Linked DNA regions of Arabidopsis thaliana. The protein of the gene in region 1 purifies or fractionates together with the protein of each later gene. This does not show direct contact. Each region holds a gene or a part of one and is shown on either strand. Other genes may lie near its edges.

Evidence for each region. Proteins that work in one complex are often made in the same cells at the same time.
Region 2: the proteins of ASP3 (region 1) and PGM3 fractionate together in Arabidopsis thaliana (co-fractionation; one large-scale study listed by BioGRID). This does not show direct contact.
Region 3: the proteins of ASP3 (region 1) and PGM2 fractionate together in Arabidopsis thaliana (co-fractionation; one large-scale study listed by BioGRID). This does not show direct contact.

The regions. Positions count from the first base shown.
Region 1 is NC_003076.8:3,684,437-3,689,724, reverse strand, and holds ASP3 (aspartate aminotransferase 3), read left to right. Parts: upstream 1-1,870; 5' UTR 1,871-2,003; coding exon 2,004-2,189; intron 2,190-2,499; coding exon 2,500-2,571; intron 2,572-2,664; coding exon 2,665-2,726; intron 2,727-2,814; coding exon 2,815-2,898; intron 2,899-2,989; coding exon 2,990-3,089; intron 3,090-3,182; coding exon 3,183-3,303; intron 3,304-3,398; coding exon 3,399-3,562; intron 3,563-3,660; coding exon 3,661-3,798; intron 3,799-3,878; coding exon 3,879-4,095; intron 4,096-4,175; coding exon 4,176-4,296; intron 4,297-4,383; coding exon 4,384-4,468; 3' UTR 4,469-4,779; downstream 4,780-5,288. Other genes in the region: MYB3R-4 (myb domain protein 3r-4), read right to left, coding at 5,041-5,133, 5,261-5,288. UniProt on the Arabidopsis thaliana protein: Amino acid aminotransferase important for the metabolism of amino acids and Krebs-cycle related organic acids. No activity with D-Asp or D-Ala as amino donors. In plants, it is involved in nitrogen metabolism and in aspects of carbon and energy metabolism.
Region 2 is NC_003070.9:8,218,072-8,225,078, reverse strand, and holds PGM3 (Phosphoglucomutase/phosphomannomutase family protein), read right to left. Parts: upstream 5,272-7,007; 5' UTR 5,134-5,271; coding exon 5,056-5,133; intron 4,468-5,055; coding exon 4,386-4,467; intron 4,299-4,385; coding exon 4,243-4,298; intron 3,890-4,242; coding exon 3,776-3,889; intron 3,641-3,775; coding exon 3,578-3,640; intron 3,433-3,577; coding exon 3,313-3,432; intron 3,227-3,312; coding exon 3,126-3,226; intron 3,021-3,125; coding exon 2,961-3,020; intron 2,860-2,960; coding exon 2,760-2,859; intron 2,667-2,759; coding exon 2,509-2,666; intron 2,422-2,508; coding exon 2,326-2,421; intron 2,217-2,325; coding exon 2,153-2,216; intron 2,067-2,152; coding exon 1,985-2,066; intron 1,903-1,984; coding exon 1,724-1,902; intron 1,633-1,723; coding exon 1,556-1,632; intron 1,446-1,555; coding exon 1,313-1,445; intron 1,201-1,312; coding exon 1,084-1,200; intron 965-1,083; coding exon 893-964; 3' UTR 532-892; downstream 1-531. Other genes in the region: AT1G23180 (ARM repeat superfamily protein), read right to left, coding at 5,564-6,195, 6,270-6,460, 6,558-6,598, 6,679-6,732, 6,835-6,931. UniProt on the Arabidopsis thaliana protein: Catalyzes the reversible isomerization of alpha-D-glucose 1-phosphate to alpha-D-glucose 6-phosphate. The mechanism proceeds via the intermediate compound alpha-D-glucose 1,6-bisphosphate.
Region 3 is NC_003070.9:26,668,115-26,675,176, reverse strand, and holds PGM2 (Phosphoglucomutase/phosphomannomutase family protein), read left to right. Parts: upstream 1-2,010; coding exon 2,011-2,085; intron 2,086-2,294; coding exon 2,295-2,531; intron 2,532-2,751; coding exon 2,752-2,833; intron 2,834-2,928; coding exon 2,929-2,984; intron 2,985-3,137; coding exon 3,138-3,251; intron 3,252-3,370; coding exon 3,371-3,433; intron 3,434-3,579; coding exon 3,580-3,699; intron 3,700-3,801; coding exon 3,802-3,902; intron 3,903-4,031; coding exon 4,032-4,091; intron 4,092-4,193; coding exon 4,194-4,293; intron 4,294-4,419; coding exon 4,420-4,580; intron 4,581-4,674; coding exon 4,675-4,770; intron 4,771-4,908; coding exon 4,909-4,972; intron 4,973-5,059; coding exon 5,060-5,141; intron 5,142-5,220; coding exon 5,221-5,399; intron 5,400-5,487; coding exon 5,488-5,564; intron 5,565-5,647; coding exon 5,648-5,780; intron 5,781-5,872; coding exon 5,873-5,989; intron 5,990-6,085; coding exon 6,086-6,157; 3' UTR 6,158-6,531; downstream 6,532-7,062. Other genes in the region: AT1G70740 (Protein kinase superfamily protein), read left to right, coding at 1-145, 245-479, 616-802, 884-1,330. UniProt on the Arabidopsis thaliana protein: Catalyzes the reversible isomerization of alpha-D-glucose 1-phosphate to alpha-D-glucose 6-phosphate. The mechanism proceeds via the intermediate compound alpha-D-glucose 1,6-bisphosphate.

The DNA of each region.
Region 1 (5,288 bases):
TATTACATCACAAAATTCCAACAGTTTCATTTGTCGTGTAAGCAATTAAGTTTTCTGGTATCATTTTCAGCATTTATGGTTTCGTTTTTCTTATGATCAAAAGAGTGTCAAATCTAACGTAACGATCCATATAATCTCTTCGGTCGAAAACTAAAATATGACAAAAGTTTAAAACTACATCGTTACTGAGTTGCAATATAAAATACAAAGTTAAGAAATTCTATTGTATATATCTAAATACACTAAACTATCTATCAAATAGAATTATTGATTCATTTCAACTTTTTTGCGGTTTCAGAATATTCCATAAATTCCACTGCAACAAAAACAACATGCAAATAATTAATTTCTTCTCCATGGTCGAACTCAAATTAAAATTTTGTCTACCCCTCTCAAAAACATATATGGACCAACCATTTATTCTGTAGAAACATTAAATTAACTTATTTTATCCATTAAAGTATCAGTTATAAAGCAAAGCATCCCAAAACTCATCAGAAACCGGCCACTAAAAAACAAAGGTATATGAGACATAATTGGCGTCTTGAATAATCTCTTCACAGCAACCAGTTTTTACAACAAATCCCAAGCTCAACGAAGCCATCGACGATCCAAGTAATTGGTTCTCTATTCTTATATCGGGTCAGAATCCATTTGCCGGACCCAACCAACCACCCCCACTATGGGATAGGAAGGACGTACAAAAACATTTAGACGATAAAAAGTGGATTTCGCATATCAACCCAGGACGTGTTACAATTTTGATGGGTTAACTTAACCTGGCCGTGGATCAGTAAACCAGCCCTCGAACCATCAACACCTGATAAGTCAAGTAACTGAGTAAGTACTTTCGAGGATACAAATTTCTTTCTTGGAGAAGATAGGAGAACGTCCTCGTATCAACGAAAAAATATGAAGATTATAATTTGCCGGATTTTTAAATTAATCGAATGCTTTGCTTTTCAGCAATAATCTGGTTTTGGACTAAAATGATCTTGGATTGGAAATTGTGTGGTGAAGTAAGAAGCTCTAATCTTGGAGCTCATCTTATTGCCAAGAGCGTGACAATGGAGGATCGCCGCCAATCGTATGTAGCAAGCGGATTTCCTTTTTGGCTGAAACATCTTTTTGAGAAAGAAAGAAGTATTGCTTAGTGTAATATTCAACGTGGTTGATCTAGAATGATTGTCCTTGATCCTAACTTTTTGTATATTTGGTTACAATCTTGAATATAAAATATATCTTTCAGTGAAAAAAAAAAAAAAGAGACTAAAATGATCCATTATCCAAAATTGTAAATCATATAAAAGTAATTTAAAATAAAGATTAAATTATACTAATAAACTAGAATAATCAACATAAGCTTGATATGGGGACTAGACCAAACAAACTTCTATCATCGTAAGTTCGTAACCACAAGTAACCATCATCAATCAGATATTTAATATATTTCATGTTACACTAAGTATTAAATCACATATTCATCCTCTTCAACAAAGGTCGTTGACAAAATCAAAAACAACTATACGTTGATCATATTAATAATCTCTAGCATTTTGGTTGTTTGTTATTTTTTATTAATAACAGATAAATAAATAATTTCACATTTAACCAAAAAAAAATACTAGCAGCTAAACAATGAGCATTGTAAAATCTCCCAAACAATCAAAGAGTTTTTCTCTATATAACATTATTGGTAGTGTAAAAAATGTAAAATTTATGTTAGATTTTCAACAATTAAAATGCGAATATAAACCCTATTTTTGGAGTATTTTAATTCCCTGTTTTCCCGGCTTTTTCATGGATAATCTTACAAAGACTTTTTAATATCTTGATGATGATGATGATGATGATGCTTCAGGCACGCAACTTTATGCCAAGCTTACGTGGCAAATTTGGATAGCCAAAAATAAATTAGAAGACCAAATTGATATAAAGAAAGAGATCTTCGTATTCAACTATTTCTTCATTCGTAAACAAACACACACGAAGCAAAAACAAAAATGAAAACTACTCATTTCTCTTCCTCTTCTTCTTCCGATCGCAGGATCGGTGCTCTGCTCCGTCATCTCAATTCCGGCTCAGATTCGGACAACCTGAGCTCTCTTTATGCATCTCCGACATCGGGAGGCACCGGTGGTTCTGTTTTCTCTCATCTTGTTCAAGCTCCAGAGGATCCTATTCTTGGGGTACCTTCTTCTTCTTCGATTATGTTTTGTGTGTCTATATCATTCTCAAACATATTGGACGATACTTTTGGATATGTGTATCATACGCATTGGATCCGTTATTGATTGGTGGGAATTCACGATCTCTCGATAAAATGACATGATGTTTTATGAAATGGGATAAGATTTGATGTTTATGCTTCTGAATTTGGTTCGTTTGATTAGTAATTCATTTTTTTTTCACCAAATTTTCAGCTCTGAGATGAATTATGATGATTAGTGTGGTTATGTCAGTGATTCTGATATTTGTTTTTCACAAAAAAATGAATAGGTGACAGTTGCATACAACAAAGATCCTAGCCCAGTTAAGCTGAATTTAGGAGTTGGTGCTTACCGAACTGAGGTAATGTTACAATGAAGATGTGTCTCTGTTCTTTGATTTATTATTTTTGTTGTTGCAACTGAAAAGGATTGGTTGTTTATTGATGGGTTACAGGAGGGAAAACCTTTGGTTCTTAATGTTGTGAGGAAAGCTGAGCAGCAGCTTATCAATGACAGGTTTACCTCTCTTTCTTTTGGTTTCTACCCTTTATGTGTGTGTGTGTGCTTGATGATGTTGAATCTTGTTTTGTGTGTTAATCTGTAGAACAAGAATCAAGGAGTATCTTCCCATTGTTGGATTGGTTGAGTTCAACAAGTTAAGCGCTAAGCTCATACTAGGCGCTGACAGGTATGCATTCTCTGTTTATTCTTTATGTTTTCATCACTTTGTTTTTTCTTTAGACAATTCTTTATGATTGGTGTTCTCATGTATGGTTTAGTCCTGCTATTCGGGAGAATCGGATTACCACCGTGGAGTGTTTGTCTGGTACTGGTTCTCTGAGAGTTGGAGGAGAGTTTTTGGCTAAACATTATCATCAGGTTGATGCTTAAGCCTAATTTCCTATCTGATTGAATTTCTTCATCCTATAGAACTTCTCATAGAAATTTGGAGTCTTTTCCTTTGCTTTTCAGAAAACAATTTACATCACTCAGCCAACATGGGGAAATCATCCAAAGATTTTCACGCTCGCTGGTTTGACAGTGAAAACTTACCGATACTACGATCCAGCGACGCGTGGGTTGAACTTTCAAGGTGAGACTACTGAGTTCTTTGCTTGCTATTGTTGATATGCTTATATATCTTTCTGAATTCGTTTACGTCAACTTTTTTTCTTCTTTTGTTCACAGGTTTATTAGAAGACCTTGGTGCTGCCGCACCTGGTTCTATAGTGCTTCTCCATGCCTGTGCCCATAACCCTACTGGTGTTGATCCAACCATTCAACAATGGGAGCAAATCAGGAAGTTGATGCGATCAAAGGGATTGATGCCCTTCTTCGATAGTGCTTATCAGGTACACCTGATGAATCCTTTTGTGTAAGATCAGCTGATATTTAAACCATTTTCCTTCTGAATCAATGGTTAATACTTGTCTCTCTTTTTGTATCGCAGGGCTTTGCAAGTGGAAGTCTTGATACAGATGCGAAACCTATTAGGATGTTTGTTGCTGATGGCGGAGAATGCCTCGTTGCTCAAAGTTATGCGAAGAACATGGGACTCTATGGAGAACGAGTTGGAGCTCTCAGCATTGTAAGAACCTGTTGCATTGCAAGAAATCTATTTAAGAAACGCGTAAGAAATTCTTTCTGACATAAAAGAAGTTGTTGTAGGTATGCAAATCAGCAGATGTTGCGGGGAGAGTTGAAAGCCAACTGAAACTAGTGATAAGGCCAATGTACTCGAGTCCTCCAATCCATGGTGCATCAATCGTGGCTGTAATCCTCCGTGACAAGAATTTGTTCAACGAATGGACTCTGGAACTGAAGGCCATGGCTGATCGTATCATCAGCATGAGGAAACAGCTTTTCGAGGCATTACGTACTCGAGGTAAGTAAGGTCTTATTGATTTGTATAAGGAATGTAAATGGACATAGCTAATGAAATGAAATTCAAAATCACTGTGACAGGCACTCCTGGAGACTGGAGTCACATCATAAAGCAGATTGGTATGTTTACCTTCACAGGGTTAAACCCAGCTCAAGTCTCCTTCATGACTAAAGAGTACCACATCTACATGACATCTGACGGGTAAGCGCCTGCCTCTCTTCTTCATCTATTAATTTTCTTGAATTTTGTCTAACTTAGTGTGTGATGATTGATATAAATGAACCAAAGGAGGATAAGCATGGCTGGTCTGAGTTCGAAGACTGTACCTCACCTTGCAGACGCTATCCATGCTGTTGTCACCAAAGCCGTCTGAGAAACTGAACACCACCATGACACCAAAGCTTCATAATAAAGATTTTGTTCTTTTCTTTCTATTATAGCATTTCCGGCAGTGACAAGATAAATGTCGTTACTATTATTATTGTTTCATCCCAGTATCAATAAAGTACGCAAGAAAGCTTTTGTGCTCTCTCTTCTACTATTGCTTACAACTCTTTTTTGGTTTCTTATAGAGTCAAATGTTTAAGAGAAAACATTTGAGATTTAAGCTGGTGAACTTGAATACAGTTCATGTAGAATCTGAGGTTTTAGCATATGACGGAATTGCAGAAACTATTTAGATTAAACTAGCAGAGAACAAGAATAAGTTACTGCAGTTGGTTCGTTTCACAGAGTATACGGACGTGTACTCATTGCAGGCAAATGAAATATGTATATATATATTGAACACAGAATCTACATAAATTCACTCCAATTGATCCATTAAAAAGAAACAGAGAAAAAAAATTGATCCAGCCAGGGATAATTCATAAAAGATGCACATACATATTTATACATTGTTCATGTATGGTGCATTTTGCATATTATGTATAAGCTTTTGGCATTTTACCTACATCCCTTCAAGAGGTAGGATGAGACTTCTTCTGTTGCTTTGATTGGAGACTCGCAATCGTTGAAGTCCAGCACTCGACGCTCCGCCTATAGATTGAGAAATGTTCAAAACACAAAATCAATGGAGCACAAAACATTTTTCTTTGTTTCTAGAACTATAATCTCAAAACCGTCTACTTAGAGAGTGAATGATTTGTAGAGTATGTATATATACCAGTAGAGGATCATTATTCTCTTTATCC
Region 2 (7,007 bases), on another chromosome or scaffold:
TCGAGAAAACAAAATATATTGCACGATTATATAATCAAATTCTTTTTTTTCTCACGTTCATATATTATGTATATGAATATGATTTATACGACCACTCAATTAGTCACATGTTATTGATACTTGACAGAACTCATTATGTCTGAATTTGGATTTGAAATATACTGATAGGTCAATGATACAAATATTTGATACTAAAACTCAAAAGAGAAAGAAATCGAGTATAAGAAAGATATACTTACACGAAATAAAGGATAGTGTGGTTTAAGTGGAGTAGAAAGTTGAATGAAGCTTCGTTCTAGATATGGAAGGTCCGGTGGGAGAATTAGGGTTGTGTACGACTCTAACCAAATCTTTGGGTTTCCTTGTTCCAATTCTCTATATTCGTTTCGAAAGCAACACATACATATATTGAATCTTCCATTTATTCTCTTTCGTTTTCAAGTTCGACGTCTCTCCCACTTTTCAAAAGAGAAGTAATAAAAAATGGCTTTCGTCCATATATTATGGTATCATGCATTGAAAACCATGCAACATCAAACCAAAACACGAGAGGGTGCATTTTCATGAGTACCCATTTGAAGTAATTAGACAACTCTGAGATTTGTCAATGGATGGTCGTAGCATGCTTTGAGGTATCAATGAACTTAGATGTTAAGAGAGTATACTCGCCAAAATACGGAAACAAGAGAGAACAAAACTGAGAAAGCCAAATCCGTACAAGTATAAGCCTCACAACAACTCAAGAAATCAGTCTTGGTTGTTCAGAATTCTGATGAGAAATACAAATTCTCCCTGAGACTAATTATTCTTATAATGTAACTTGGATAGTATAAGAAGAAAACATCATATAGACGAAAAGGTGAATGGTTTGAGTCGTTGAGCTTGACCCTTCTTATGTTATGACGGTGGGGGCTGATCGGCCTGTGAACTCTTCCATCTTCGACAGCTTTAGAGCTAAGTCAACCTGTGAATCACACATCAACAATTACGTATTTGATTAGAGAAAACCCCTTTGGTATTAGCTAAATGGTAATGAGTCGGAAAACAGTTTATGGATTTGAGGTTTTATAGTAAGCAACTGACCAGAGGAGACAAAGCTTCCTGGGATTCTCGGCCGGTTTTTGAAGCATCCTTTTCGTACTGTTCGATGTAAAGCCGGATGGTTGCTCCTTCTGAGCCAGTTCCAGAGAGACGGAAAACCTTCATATGGTTTCAGATATAACAAGAGAGGATTAGTTAGTTTTGATTTCTATCACTTTGTTCTTAGCTGGAATGTATCCAAGCTCAAATACCGAAGAAAAAGATGACTTACAAGTCGTGATCCGTCTTCAAACAAGTAACGGATTCCCTGGTGCTTCGAAATGGATCCATCAACTGGATCTTTGTACTCGAATTCATCAGCACTGGCGACGCTTGCCACGTCCGAACGAATTCCTTTCACAATCCTGAATAAAATCAAGAGAGAAGAAGAGGTTAGAAAAACAGAGTACCAAACTGATGAGTACGTGTTCAAGTATAAAAGGAAGGGATTTCAGAGAAGTGGAAGTGTGTGTACTTGTTAACTTCAGGAATTGAAGATTGCAATTTGACCAAATGCTCCATCAGTTCCTTAGCTTTACCTGCGTCTACATTCTTTAGAGACAAATTTTGAGATGTCAGTAAGGGTACTGTTTCTTCCATATAATATGGTATAATTACAATCACCAAACTTAGCAACTTTTACCTCATAGTCGTAACGAGTGTAATAGTGACGACCGTAGGTAGCCCAATGCTGGCGGACAATGTCTTCAACTGACACCAGTTTAGCGTTACCGTCAATATTTCCCTTGTTCTTGTGAGCAAGTATAGACATCCATGCAAGAACTGCCCATATTCCGTCTTTCTCACGGATATGATCCGAGCCTGTGAAAGATCTTTCTTTCAGAACTGTATAGGTTGTTTTAAAGTTATGAACAGATGTGTGAGTGTGGAAATAGAAACTGACCAGTTCCAAAACTTTCTTCTCCACAAACAGAACACATCCCAGCATCCATCAGATTACCAAAAAACTTCCAGCCTGTTGGAACCTGATATGTGATTTAATAGAGATATGAAATTAAATTATGTAGTTAGGAGAAAAGAAGCTGGATAGAAGTTGCACGGTGACATGTACCTCAAAGAACTTCAAATTCAAGCTTTTTGCAACGACATCAAGAGCAGCTGAGGTTGGCATGCTCCTAAAACAAGAAGTGGAAGTTACAAAATAATCCACAAAAAAGATATATTAAAAGAGTTGTATACACAGAATTCTACTAGAAGTAAAAAAAGAGCCCAGGTGTATAATACCTTGCAACACCTTTCAAACCAGAGCTGAAGTACGGGATGGCACCAATAGCATTTGCAGCAATTATGGCAACTGAATCCGAAGGAGTTACAAAGAACCTACAAATGAAGAGATACTTTAAGTTTAAAAGTACTTGGTATACTAGTTCCATGGATGTATCTCTCTTGAAAACGTCAGTAAGCTACCTTTTACCAAGGATCATGTTACGGTCTGCATCACCATCAGCAGCGGCGCCAAACTCTGGAGGTTCACCTCCAGTGTCGGATTTACCTAATCCCATTCGTGCCACAAGCTCCTTAGCATAGGTCAAATTGGGATCCGGATGCCCTCCTCCAAAGTCCTCCTGCAAATCGTTGTATTGTGGTAAATATTGAGCCTGGAGGTGTATTTGTAATCATTTATGGAATAGCGTTTCTTGGTTAGACAAAAATAAGACCTTGGGAGTGCAGTTCAATAATGCGCTTTCTTGCGCACCGAGTTCTTCGACAAAGATGCGATGTGCATAGGCTCCAGCAACTCCATGCAATGCATCATAGCTTCATAAAACAAAGTAAAATATAACATTACAGTGATGGAACATATATTACAAAACTTAACTCAAATGGAAAAGGTTTGGGAACCAATGTTAGTTACATACCAGAATGTAAACTTTGGAGATGATAGCAATTTCCGGATGGCTTCAAAATCGAAGATTGACCTTGAAGGAGCGAGAATTTTTCTTTAGAAAGATCATAAAAATTGCACATAGACCATAGAGGGAGCAGATTCCAGAATCATGCTTTTAAATTGAGGGACCACTCACTTCATTAATTTAACGTAGTCATCTGCGGGATCAAAAACTTCAACATCAAATTTTCCTTCAGGTCCTTCAAAACTGGTTACACCAACAGCAGAAATATCAACCTGTCGCATTCATCAGATAGACCAGATCAACTATGATTCAACAAAAGACAGATGATGGAAATCTATAAGAGGATTCTTAAGAATACATTGGGTAGATCTTGTGCTATTGGGTACTCCTTGATTGTCTTAGTGTTCTCGTAAATTTTATCAGTGATTGATTCAGGAGCAGGTCCTCCATTTTCCATATTGTATTTGATTCCAAAATCCTGTACAAGGGGTATGGAATCACCTCTTAGTCTTATTATCCATCTAGATATCTTATTATTAAAAAAAGAACAAATAAAGAGATACAAAACGAATAGTTCAAATGAAAGGATAGCACAGTAGAGATGGAACAAGAACAGAACGGACCTCAGTAGGGCCACCAGGATTGTGGCTTGCTGTTAAGATAAATGCTCCAGTTGCTTTCGATCCCTGTAATCGGAGACTGGGGTTAAGTAACTCAAAACCATCATTACATTTTGCGTCATGCACAAACATAGCAAATAACCAAAAAAAACAAAAAACAAAATGTCACTACAACCATGAGCATAGAGAAAGAAATCTCACATCAGCCCCTGATCTTTCACGAATCACAGCTGATACAGCAGGAGTTGATAACAGAGTGTTTTTACCAACCCACACACGTCGTACACCATTAGCTGCTGCCATCTTAATTATGATCTGTTAAGATACAAAATAAAATTGTATGAAAAGCAGTAAAACATCTTCATCTGTAACAGTATGAACCGGATTTGTAATAGGAGTAGATCAAACAAACTTAAGTTTCAGAGATTTCAAAGTCAAACAAAACTTTAACTTCTATAAACCTCTAATCTCTCTATAGAGGTTTCGATGCAAATTTTAGAGATGAACACAAAGAAAAATAAGCAAGGCATTGATGATAATAGCAGGCCTTCCTAACACAGGAGTTCCCTCCAAAACATTGTAAATACATGAGCACTAATTCATAATTCTATGGATACGCCAATTACATTCACACAGATCCAGAAGACAGGGAATATCATCGGCCTTACCTGAACAGCATCCTTTGAGTAATAACGACCATCACCAGAGACCACAAGTGTGGCACCTGCACATATGAACAATAAACACTCATGAATTTTTCGAATGAGCAGATATCTCTGAGAAGCTAAGATGAGTATGAAAAAAATCTCACCTTTAACTTTCTCCGCCGTAAGAGCATTGAATGTTGCTTGGACAAAATTCTCTAGATAATTGGGTTGCTTGAACACTTTCACCTACACAGTTAGAAAAAAAAAAAAAAATACTAATCAGAGATACAAAAAGATGCTAGTTTGATATCTGCAGAGAGTAGAACAAACAATCGACACTCGATTGATTGGATAAAATGATCAACCCAAATTTCTTTTATCAAAATATCTGAAACAGATCTGATCAGTGAGTCTCAATAAACGTCATTGCAGATCGTATATACGTTAAACGAAGATCTGACAATAACAACTAGGCTCTTCCCTAGTTTCAATTATACACAAATTCAATCCATATAGTCTCCATTTCGCTACACCAACTCAAAAAACGTAATTTCAAGCTCTATCAAATCAACATTCACCACATAGAAGCGTCCCAAACATATACTCAAATCAAATATAATAAACGTGATCTCGAACTTGATCCAAATAAAATAACGAAAACGAAATTTAAAATTTGTCATCATTCACTAATCAATATAGATTAATGCATAGATCAAATCTAATCAGATGGTCAATCTCACTTCAAAATCACACTCAAGAAAATCTAAACAGATCTGATCCAGATGCAACAATTCGATTTCGTTTGATTCAGAAGACAAGGATCGATCAACGAACCTTCTTACGAAGACCAGAAGTTCCTGGTTTCTGGCCATCAATAGGAGATGTGGATACGGTAGAAACCTTGAAAACCATATTCGCTTTGAGAAGAACAAAGATCAAAATTTGGACGCAGAGAGAGTGATGATGATAAAAGCAAGCAGCTCTTAAATAAATTACGCAAAAGAGAAGCTTGCTTAAAAGCTAAACGATCCCAAGACACGTGTAACCAAGTGAGTGAACTAGAACGTTTCTCTCGTTTTCACTGACACAGTAAGAAAATCTCAGCCGTTGGATTGTATTTTCAGATTTTAAATTCATTTTTGCTTGCGTAACATTTCAAAGATTAAATATTTGATTGATCATGTGTAATCTCTAGAATATGGTAATAGTAATATACGTGCTACGTAATCCGATTATCTTAATGTAATTAACTTTTCGTATATTCGTCTCACATGACAAATCATACATTATATTATTCTAATTGATTCCAAAATTTTACATGACAATAATCTGTAAAAATGTCTTAAACGGGTAAATTTCTGAGTAACCGAAGAGCTTTCTCCCATTGTGGTCGTTGAGACATAACGATACGTCTCAATACTGGTACAGCTCCTGCTCTTATGATGGCTGTGTGGTTCTCACTGTCCATGGTTAAGTTGTACAATACTGACAAACTCGCTTCAACGCACCGCTCGTTCCTTTCTTCAAGAAGCTTAACCAGCGGTTCGATACCTCCTTGTGAAGCAAGTGTTTGGATAGATTCTGGAACTCCCTCGGAGACTATCTTGTTCAGTTCTAAAACCGCTGCTTCTTTCGTTTCTGGTGATGAGGAAAAGCTCATTTGTTCCACGAGGCTCGGGATCGTTTTGTACAGAGTTACCTCAAGATTGATCGGATTGTTGAGGGATTGAGAGGGAGAGGAGAGAGCGGTGAGTTTGACAAGACAAGCGGCAACCCAGTCTTTGTAGTGTAGAGGGAGGCTTGATCTTAGGATCTTCCTTACTAATTCTATGAAGACCGCGGTATCTATTGTTTGGCGAAAGGACTCGGAGTCAAGAAGTTTTGTCAGTAGCCTTGAAGCAGCGGAAATCGTCAAACCAGCTTCTTCTAGCTTAAGCAGATGTTTCTCTAACTCCTCAGCTTCATTCTCAGGTTCTGCATTTCCATAAAAAGTATTGTATGCTGTTATAAAATTCAAACAGAGTTATATCAAAAGATAAGTTTTGTACCTTCCAGGACTTTCTGCCGGAGAGCAAGATCAAGAACAGTTGTGATATCCTTGGAGATGATCGTGTCCATGTTTGGATTACTGATTATACCAAACTCGATGACAGAGATTGCGTTTCTTAGCAGGTTCGGAGAGGCTGTTTTCGCAATCTGGACGAGCCGAGAAAAAACAGCAGCGTCCAGAACTTCCTTTCTGTTCATTCCCATCCGATGTTTTGAGTAATTAATACTTCTAAAAAAACAAAAAGAATGAATGAGCTGAAGATAGGAAGATCGAGAAGAAGACTGACCTGGAGTCTGCTTTTGATCCGTTCACCGGTCCTTCATAAAACTGTAGCATGTAGAGAAATAGCATAAGCCAAATGAAAGCAGATTTAATGTATAATAATCAACCTTGGAAAATAAACACACCTTGGATTCCATTTCCTTGCTAGGATCTAAGATATGAGCAATTATATCCAGAACCTGCATAACATAGTTCACAAAATACCATTTCACGTCCAGTTATTCCATAATAGCCTAGACAAAGATATCAAAGAACAAAGGAAGAAGAAAATGAAGTCATACGTGTTCTGTAACGTTTAGTGAGATCTCTGGCTGCTTCAGAAGATTAATAAGAAACCATACTGCACCTTCAGCTTCAATCCTCTGGCAAACAGTGCGGCTGCATTACAAGTATAAATAATCTCAACCTCTGAGGAGAAACTGCTTAGTAAAAATGTAAAGAATGCTCAAAGATA
Region 3 (7,062 bases), on another chromosome or scaffold:
AACGAGTTTGTGAACGAGGCTAAGTTGTTGGCTAAAGTTCAGCATCGCAATGTTGTTAATCTTTGGGGTTATTGTACACATGGAGATGATAAGCTCTTGGTTTATGAGTATGTCGTTAATGAGAGCCTCGACAAGGTCCTCTTCAGTAAGTTTTTCTTCTCAATGAGATTGGTTTGTATATTAGGATAAATGATATTGAAAGAAGATGGTTTTAACATGTAGTGGTTGCTTCATTTGAATGCAGAATCCAACAGAAAATCGGAGATAGATTGGAAGCAGAGGTTTGAGATCATAACAGGCATTGCTCGAGGACTGCTCTATCTACATGAAGACGCGCCAAACTGCATCATCCACAGGGATATTAAGGCTGGCAATATTTTGCTGGATGAAAAATGGGTTCCTAAGATTGCAGATTTTGGGATGGCTAGACTCTATCAGGAAGATGTAACACATGTCAACACTCGTGTTGCAGGAACCAAGTATGCTCTCTCTATTGTTTACCCTTAAAAAGCTCATTTACATATCTTCTTGTGTCATTTGAACTCTTTTTGTTTGTTGGTGTTTCATGGTAGAATGTTATTTAACGTCCATTGCTTCTTCTTTTCTTATGCGCAGTGGTTATATGGCGCCAGAGTACGTAATGCACGGGGTTCTATCGGTAAAGGCAGACGTATTCAGCTTTGGGGTTTTGGTTCTGGAGCTCGTAAGTGGACAGAAGAACTCGAGTTTTAGCATGAGACACCCTGACCAGACTCTTCTTGAATGGGTAAAGCCTCTAGTCTCATGCTCCATTGTTTATAGGGTTGTTGTGTGATGGCCTGACCCAGCCAATATTCTTCAGCGTAATATAACCAATGCTAAATTCTTTCTGAATGTGACACAGGCATTTAAGTTGTACAAGAAAGGCCGGACCATGGAGATACTAGACCAAGATATAGCAGCTTCAGCTGATCCAGATCAAGTCAAACTCTGTGTACAGATCGGACTACTCTGCGTTCAAGGCGATCCGCATCAAAGACCGAGCATGAGACGGGTATCTCTACTTCTCTCTAGAAAACCAGGACATCTAGAAGAACCGGATCATCCTGGTGTCCCGGGATCTAGATACCGTCGGCGAACACAACGTCCTTCAGGAGCAGCATCACTTGGAACATTGTCGACCACTGGTTCCAGCACAGATTCTTTCGGTTCAAACCTGAACACAAACACGGGAACTGGTGTTAGAGGTACCCCCGCATCTTCTAAAGCTTCAACTCGGAGTAATGCCACTAGAAGTGCTGGTCAGAGCTCTAGCTCAGACCCTCACGGGAAACGACATATGAGTTATTGAAGTACATAAAATCTGGTCATAGGTGATTGTAAATAGCGAGCTGCATATATAATATTTGTTTCATAATTTATTTAATTTTGCTTTTGAAAAGTAAATTAATTTATTTTTTTGACTGCAGTAGTGATTTAGTTTTGTAGTATGATTTGTTATATTAGCGGGAAAAAATTATGATTCATTTGTTACATTTGTATATTAGAATAATCACTTGTAGTCCCATTATCTAGGTCCCCACTATTGGCCTCGTACGTATAAAAGCATATTCTCTTGTACGTATTAACGGTACCTTACTTTAAACAAAACATAAAACTAAAATGTTTTTTATGCGTTTTAAATTATTTTTCAGTTAAAATTTATAAAAAGGGTTTTTGTAAACAATTATTTTGATAGTAAAAGAAATACTAACTGAAATTAGTGGAGAAAATACACAAACATATATTTAACTTTCTTTAATTTAAAATATACAGATTTTGTTTCTTTAATTTTTTTTTTCAAATTTTAGTTTTCATTTATTTTTAAATAAAGTATGACATGTCATAATGTTGTATTTTGATTTGTCATTAAAAAGGGGGTGAATCAAATTGGTTCACTCTAGAGGTGAACTTCGCCAAAGAATCACAGACCGTCAGTGTTAATCATCAGAGACATCAACGTAATGTTCCTCTTGGTTACTTCTTGCTTTAATGTTCCTCTTGGTTACTTCTTGCTTTCTACCTGATTCAGGTTCTTCAGTTAAAGTTTCTCTTTTCATTTTTGGGGTAATGCCCGGTTGGGCCTCGTTGTTTTATTTAGGTTCTAGTTCTAGGGCCTGCGTGTCCTTTTAGGCAGTTATTGCCATGTATGTTCTTTGGGCCATTCGTGCCTCTGTCGGCTTGTTGGGCCTTGTAATCGTTTCGGCTCTATTGGAAATTAAAAATAAAATATATATACTAACCCGTTTTGGGTAAAAAGTTAGGTCCACTAAAAGACGAAAAGAGATCCTACCAAAAAAAAAAACGAAAAGAGACGAGCCACACGCGTCACCTTCTCGTTTAGCCTCTTCATCTCCTTTCCTCAGACTCACTGTGTAAAAAGGCTTTTATTTTATCATCTTCAGGCTTATTCGATTTTCTTCAGATTTGAAATGGTGTCGTTCAAGGTCTCTCTCGTCTCTACTTCGCCTATTGATGGCCAGAAACCTGGGACTTCTGGACTCCGTAAGAAGGTTCGTTCGCTTTCGCTTCTTCTCCTTGTTATATCAATCCCCGCGTTCTTATTTCGAAATTGGATTAGAGATTTGAATTCTAAATTCAGATCTTCGCAACGAAATTGATTTCTTCATTTAGTTCCGATCTTATGGATTGAATGAATTTTGTGTGTTGGTTTTAACAATTTGATCCGATCCGATGAGATTTGAATTTACGCATTGTTTCGTAATTTTACAGGTGAAAGTGTTTAAGCAACCAAATTACCTTGAAAATTTTGTCCAGGCAACGTTCAATGCTCTTACTACAGAGAAAGTTAAAGGTAAAGATCTCTCTTACCTCTCTTTGATTGTTGTTCAGGTAAAGGTCGATGATTGCAAATTCCATCTAAGAAAGAGTATTTGTTAACTTTTTCAGGTGCGACACTTGTGGTTTCTGGTGATGGTCGTTATTATTCAGAGCAAGCTATTCAGGTAAAAGCTTTATATGTCCTTTGAATGATGGCAAACTGCGTTTTGCATTAACTTATAATTCTTAGACACTTTACTCTTATTTTAGTTGTTTTGAATCTTTTATTTCATAAAAAAGATAGTTCGTCAATACCACTTTATTTCCTATCTGGACAGATTATAGTAAAGATGGCAGCAGCTAATGGTGTTAGACGTGTGTGGGTTGGTCAAAACAGTCTGCTATCAACTCCTGCAGTATCAGCTATTATTCGTGAAAGAGTAGGGGCTGATGTGAGATATCTTCCTCTAAACTCATACTACTTACTTTTCTCTTGGGTTGTTATCTAAGGCTATGCATGTTTGCAACATGTAATGACGTGATGAGAAACTAACCCGAGATCCAATTTCAGGGATCTAAAGCCACAGGAGCATTTATCTTAACAGCAAGTCATAATCCTGGTGGCCCAACTGAGGTCAGTTCTCTTTTTGTTCTCACTCTTTTGTGCTTGTTCATTCGATACCCTCACTTAGTATTATTTGAATCCTAGCATCAGTTTTGTTAAACTATATGTTCATCTCTCTGCTTCCATATGCTGATTTCCTGCTATTCTATTCACAGGATTTCGGAATTAAGTACAATATGGAAAATGGTGGACCAGCTCCTGAATCAATCACTGATAAGATTTACGAGAACACAAAGACAATCAAGGAGTACCCAATAGCGGAAGATCTACCCAGGGTACCTAACATTTCTGATCTTATTACCTGTCATCATCTTTTTTTCATCTTGTATTTGTACTAATCATGTTTTTTTGCTGGTCTTTTTGATTGAATGCAACAGGTTGATATTTCTACTATTGGTATAACCAGCTTTGAAGGACCTGAAGGAAAGTTTGACGTCGAAGTTTTTGATTCTGCAGATGACTATGTTAAACTAATGAAGTAAGTCTTTCCATCTTTGTATCTGAGAGAACAGTTCTTGAATCTACTCCCTCTATGGTCTATGCATTTAAGAGAATGGTTCCAGAATCTGCGGTATCGATGATCTAAAAGATTTGTTCGTCTCTTCAGGTCAATCTTCGACTTTGAATCCATCAAGAAATTGCTATCTTATCCAAAATTTACTTTCTGGTATATAGTTCATCAACATCCATAAATCTTTTCTTTTGAGTTTGTTTGCTTGTATAGGCTCCATCATGTCTTTGATATTTTATTTCCCATCGTTCTATGAAGCTATGATGCATTGCATGGAGTGGCTGGAGCATATGCACATCGCATCTTTGTCGAAGAACTAGGTGCACCAGAAAGTTCGTTGTTGAACTGCGTACCCAAGGTATCATTTTTTTCTTCTTTCTTATTTTGTATAACCAAGAAATATCATTTCCTGAAAGGATTATAAATACACGTTGAACAGTGTCTTTTATGATTTATAACAACACGACAATCGGACAATGTACAGGAGGACTTTGGAGGGGGCCACCCGGATCCCAATCTTACCTATGCTAAGGAGCTCGTGGCACGCATGGGATTGAGTAAAACTGATGATGCTGGTGGCGAGCCTCCAGAGTTTGGCGCCGCTGCTGATGGTGATGCAGACCGAAACATGATCCTCGGTAAAAGGTAGCAGAGACTAATTCTCTTTTAAGTGAGATCACAGAGATGTGGAGCGGATATACCACTCTCCCCGTTAACCAAAAATATCTCTTCTCCGCAGGTTTTTCGTAACTCCTTCGGATTCAGTTGCTATAATTGCTGCAAATGCTGTTGGGGCCATACCATACTTCAGCTCTGGTTTAAAAGGTGTTGCTAGGTATGCATCCCGGTTCTTCTTTGTTTACTCCAGTTCATAGATTGAAAACGCTGGACTTTGGTGTCATACGTTTTTGTTTATTATAGATAGTAACAATCTTTTCTCATTAAATTCTCAACTTTCACATTCGTATTGCAGGAGCATGCCGACCTCAGCTGCACTTGATGTCGTTGCAAAAAACTTGGGTTTGAAGTTCTTTGAGGTAGATGTCATTGTGAAGCTTTTCTCTAGCTTCTATTCATTGCAATCACGTAACATAGTCTATTGCTCTAATACTTCTATATTTTAGGTTCCAACAGGCTGGAAATTCTTTGGCAATCTAATGGATGCTGGGATGTGCTCTGTATGCGGAGAAGAAAGTTTTGGAACCGGTGAGCTTCTATTGCTAGATCTTCACATGTTTTAAAACCGTAACAACCCTACACAACTCACAAAGAAGCTTTTCGACAGGTTCGGATCATATCCGTGAGAAAGATGGGATCTGGGCAGTTCTTGCTTGGCTATCAATACTGGCTCACAAGAACAAGGAAACCCTTGATGGGAATGCAAAACTGGTGACGGTTGAAGACATTGTCCGCCAGCACTGGGCTACATATGGCCGTCACTATTACACTCGATACGACTATGAGGTAAAACTGACAAATGTCATTATTGGTTGTAGACAATATGTAGAATAACCAATTACCTTTGACCAATTTCTAAATATTTGCTCCATAGAACGTAGACGCAACTGCAGCTAAAGAACTCATGGGACTTTTGGTTAAGTTGCAATCTTCACTTCCCGAAGTCAACAAGTATCTCTCTCTCCACTTAATTTCAAATCCATTCCTTTTTACTTGTATGACTTTCAGACTCACGTTTTTGGATAATTGGTCAGGATTATAAAGGGAATTCATCCAGAGGTGGCAAATGTTGCAAGCGCAGATGAGTTCGAGTACAAAGATCCAGTAGATGGCTCTGTTTCAAAGCACCAAGGGATCCGATACTTATTCGAGGATGGATCACGACTTGTAAGTCGATATGTGTGAAATGGATTCATAACAATTCAACAACCTGTGAAATTGTAAAAGCTAATCCGGGCTTGTTTCTCTTGTTCATGAAGGTGTTCCGTCTCTCGGGAACTGGCTCAGAAGGAGCAACAATAAGGCTATACATTGAACAATACGAGAAGGACGCCTCAAAGATCGGCCGAGATTCTCAGGATGCTCTTGGTCCCCTGGTCAGATTCCCAGATACCTTAATTACTCCCAAATTTACGCATAATCGATCTTTGTCATGTTTATTAACACCAATTGTTGGTGTCTGATTTTCACAGGTTGATGTTGCATTAAAGCTGTCGAAAATGCAAGAGTTCACCGGCCGATCATCACCAACTGTTATTACATAAGACAGCTTTCAGAAGACGCTGTCTCCAATACTACTCTCATTCCAACTTCATTTCTTATGAATTTGGGTTTTGCTTTTTTCCTGTTATCTGTTATCTTACACAAGTATACTTCAATACATATAATTTTAATGGAATATACATTAGGTTGGCAATTGAATTTCTAGCTTTGTTTGGCTCCTCCAAATAAAAAAGAATTGCCACAATATTGGAGCATGTGTGGCAGATGGAGACGTAGCAAGAGTAAAAAGCGAATCCAACAATAACTGATACCTAAAACCTACGGTGTACAACTATAGATAATGGACCCGAGAGGTGGTGATGACAAGCCAGAAGACAGATGTTTATAATTTGTCTCTTGAGCTTGACCAACAAAAACATTCTGACAGTTAAAAGCTAATGTTGGGCATGAATTTCGTGAATCAGATTGTGCCATGTGTTAGTTTGTATAAGTGAGTCAGGGTTCACGGGTTCTTTCTTATTTGGTTTTTAAATCCAAAAGAAAGAGAGGCATCATTACCATCCAAACACTCCTCCCACTTTAGGCTTTCTTCCTCTGTCCTTTCTCCATATTTGTTGTCTTCTACTAAACTTTTGTCTCAACAATGACTGATGCTTTAGCTAACCATCAACATTGTAACATACAGTTGATGGTTAGCTATTTGCTATACATTTGTCTATTTCTCTTGCTTCTATAGTCAAAGTATAGAGTTAGCTCGTATAAAAAGATCAGCATTTAAGTATAAAAAAAATTAGAATGATTTTATGTATAGTATTGTCTAACTTTAGGTGAAATCACAACTGATTATAGAATCCTCGAAGAAAAATATTAAAAAATCAAAAGGCTTAATATTAGCATTTTCTTATGCAGAAATGCTTAATTAATCAAAATAAGTCTTTTCACGTAA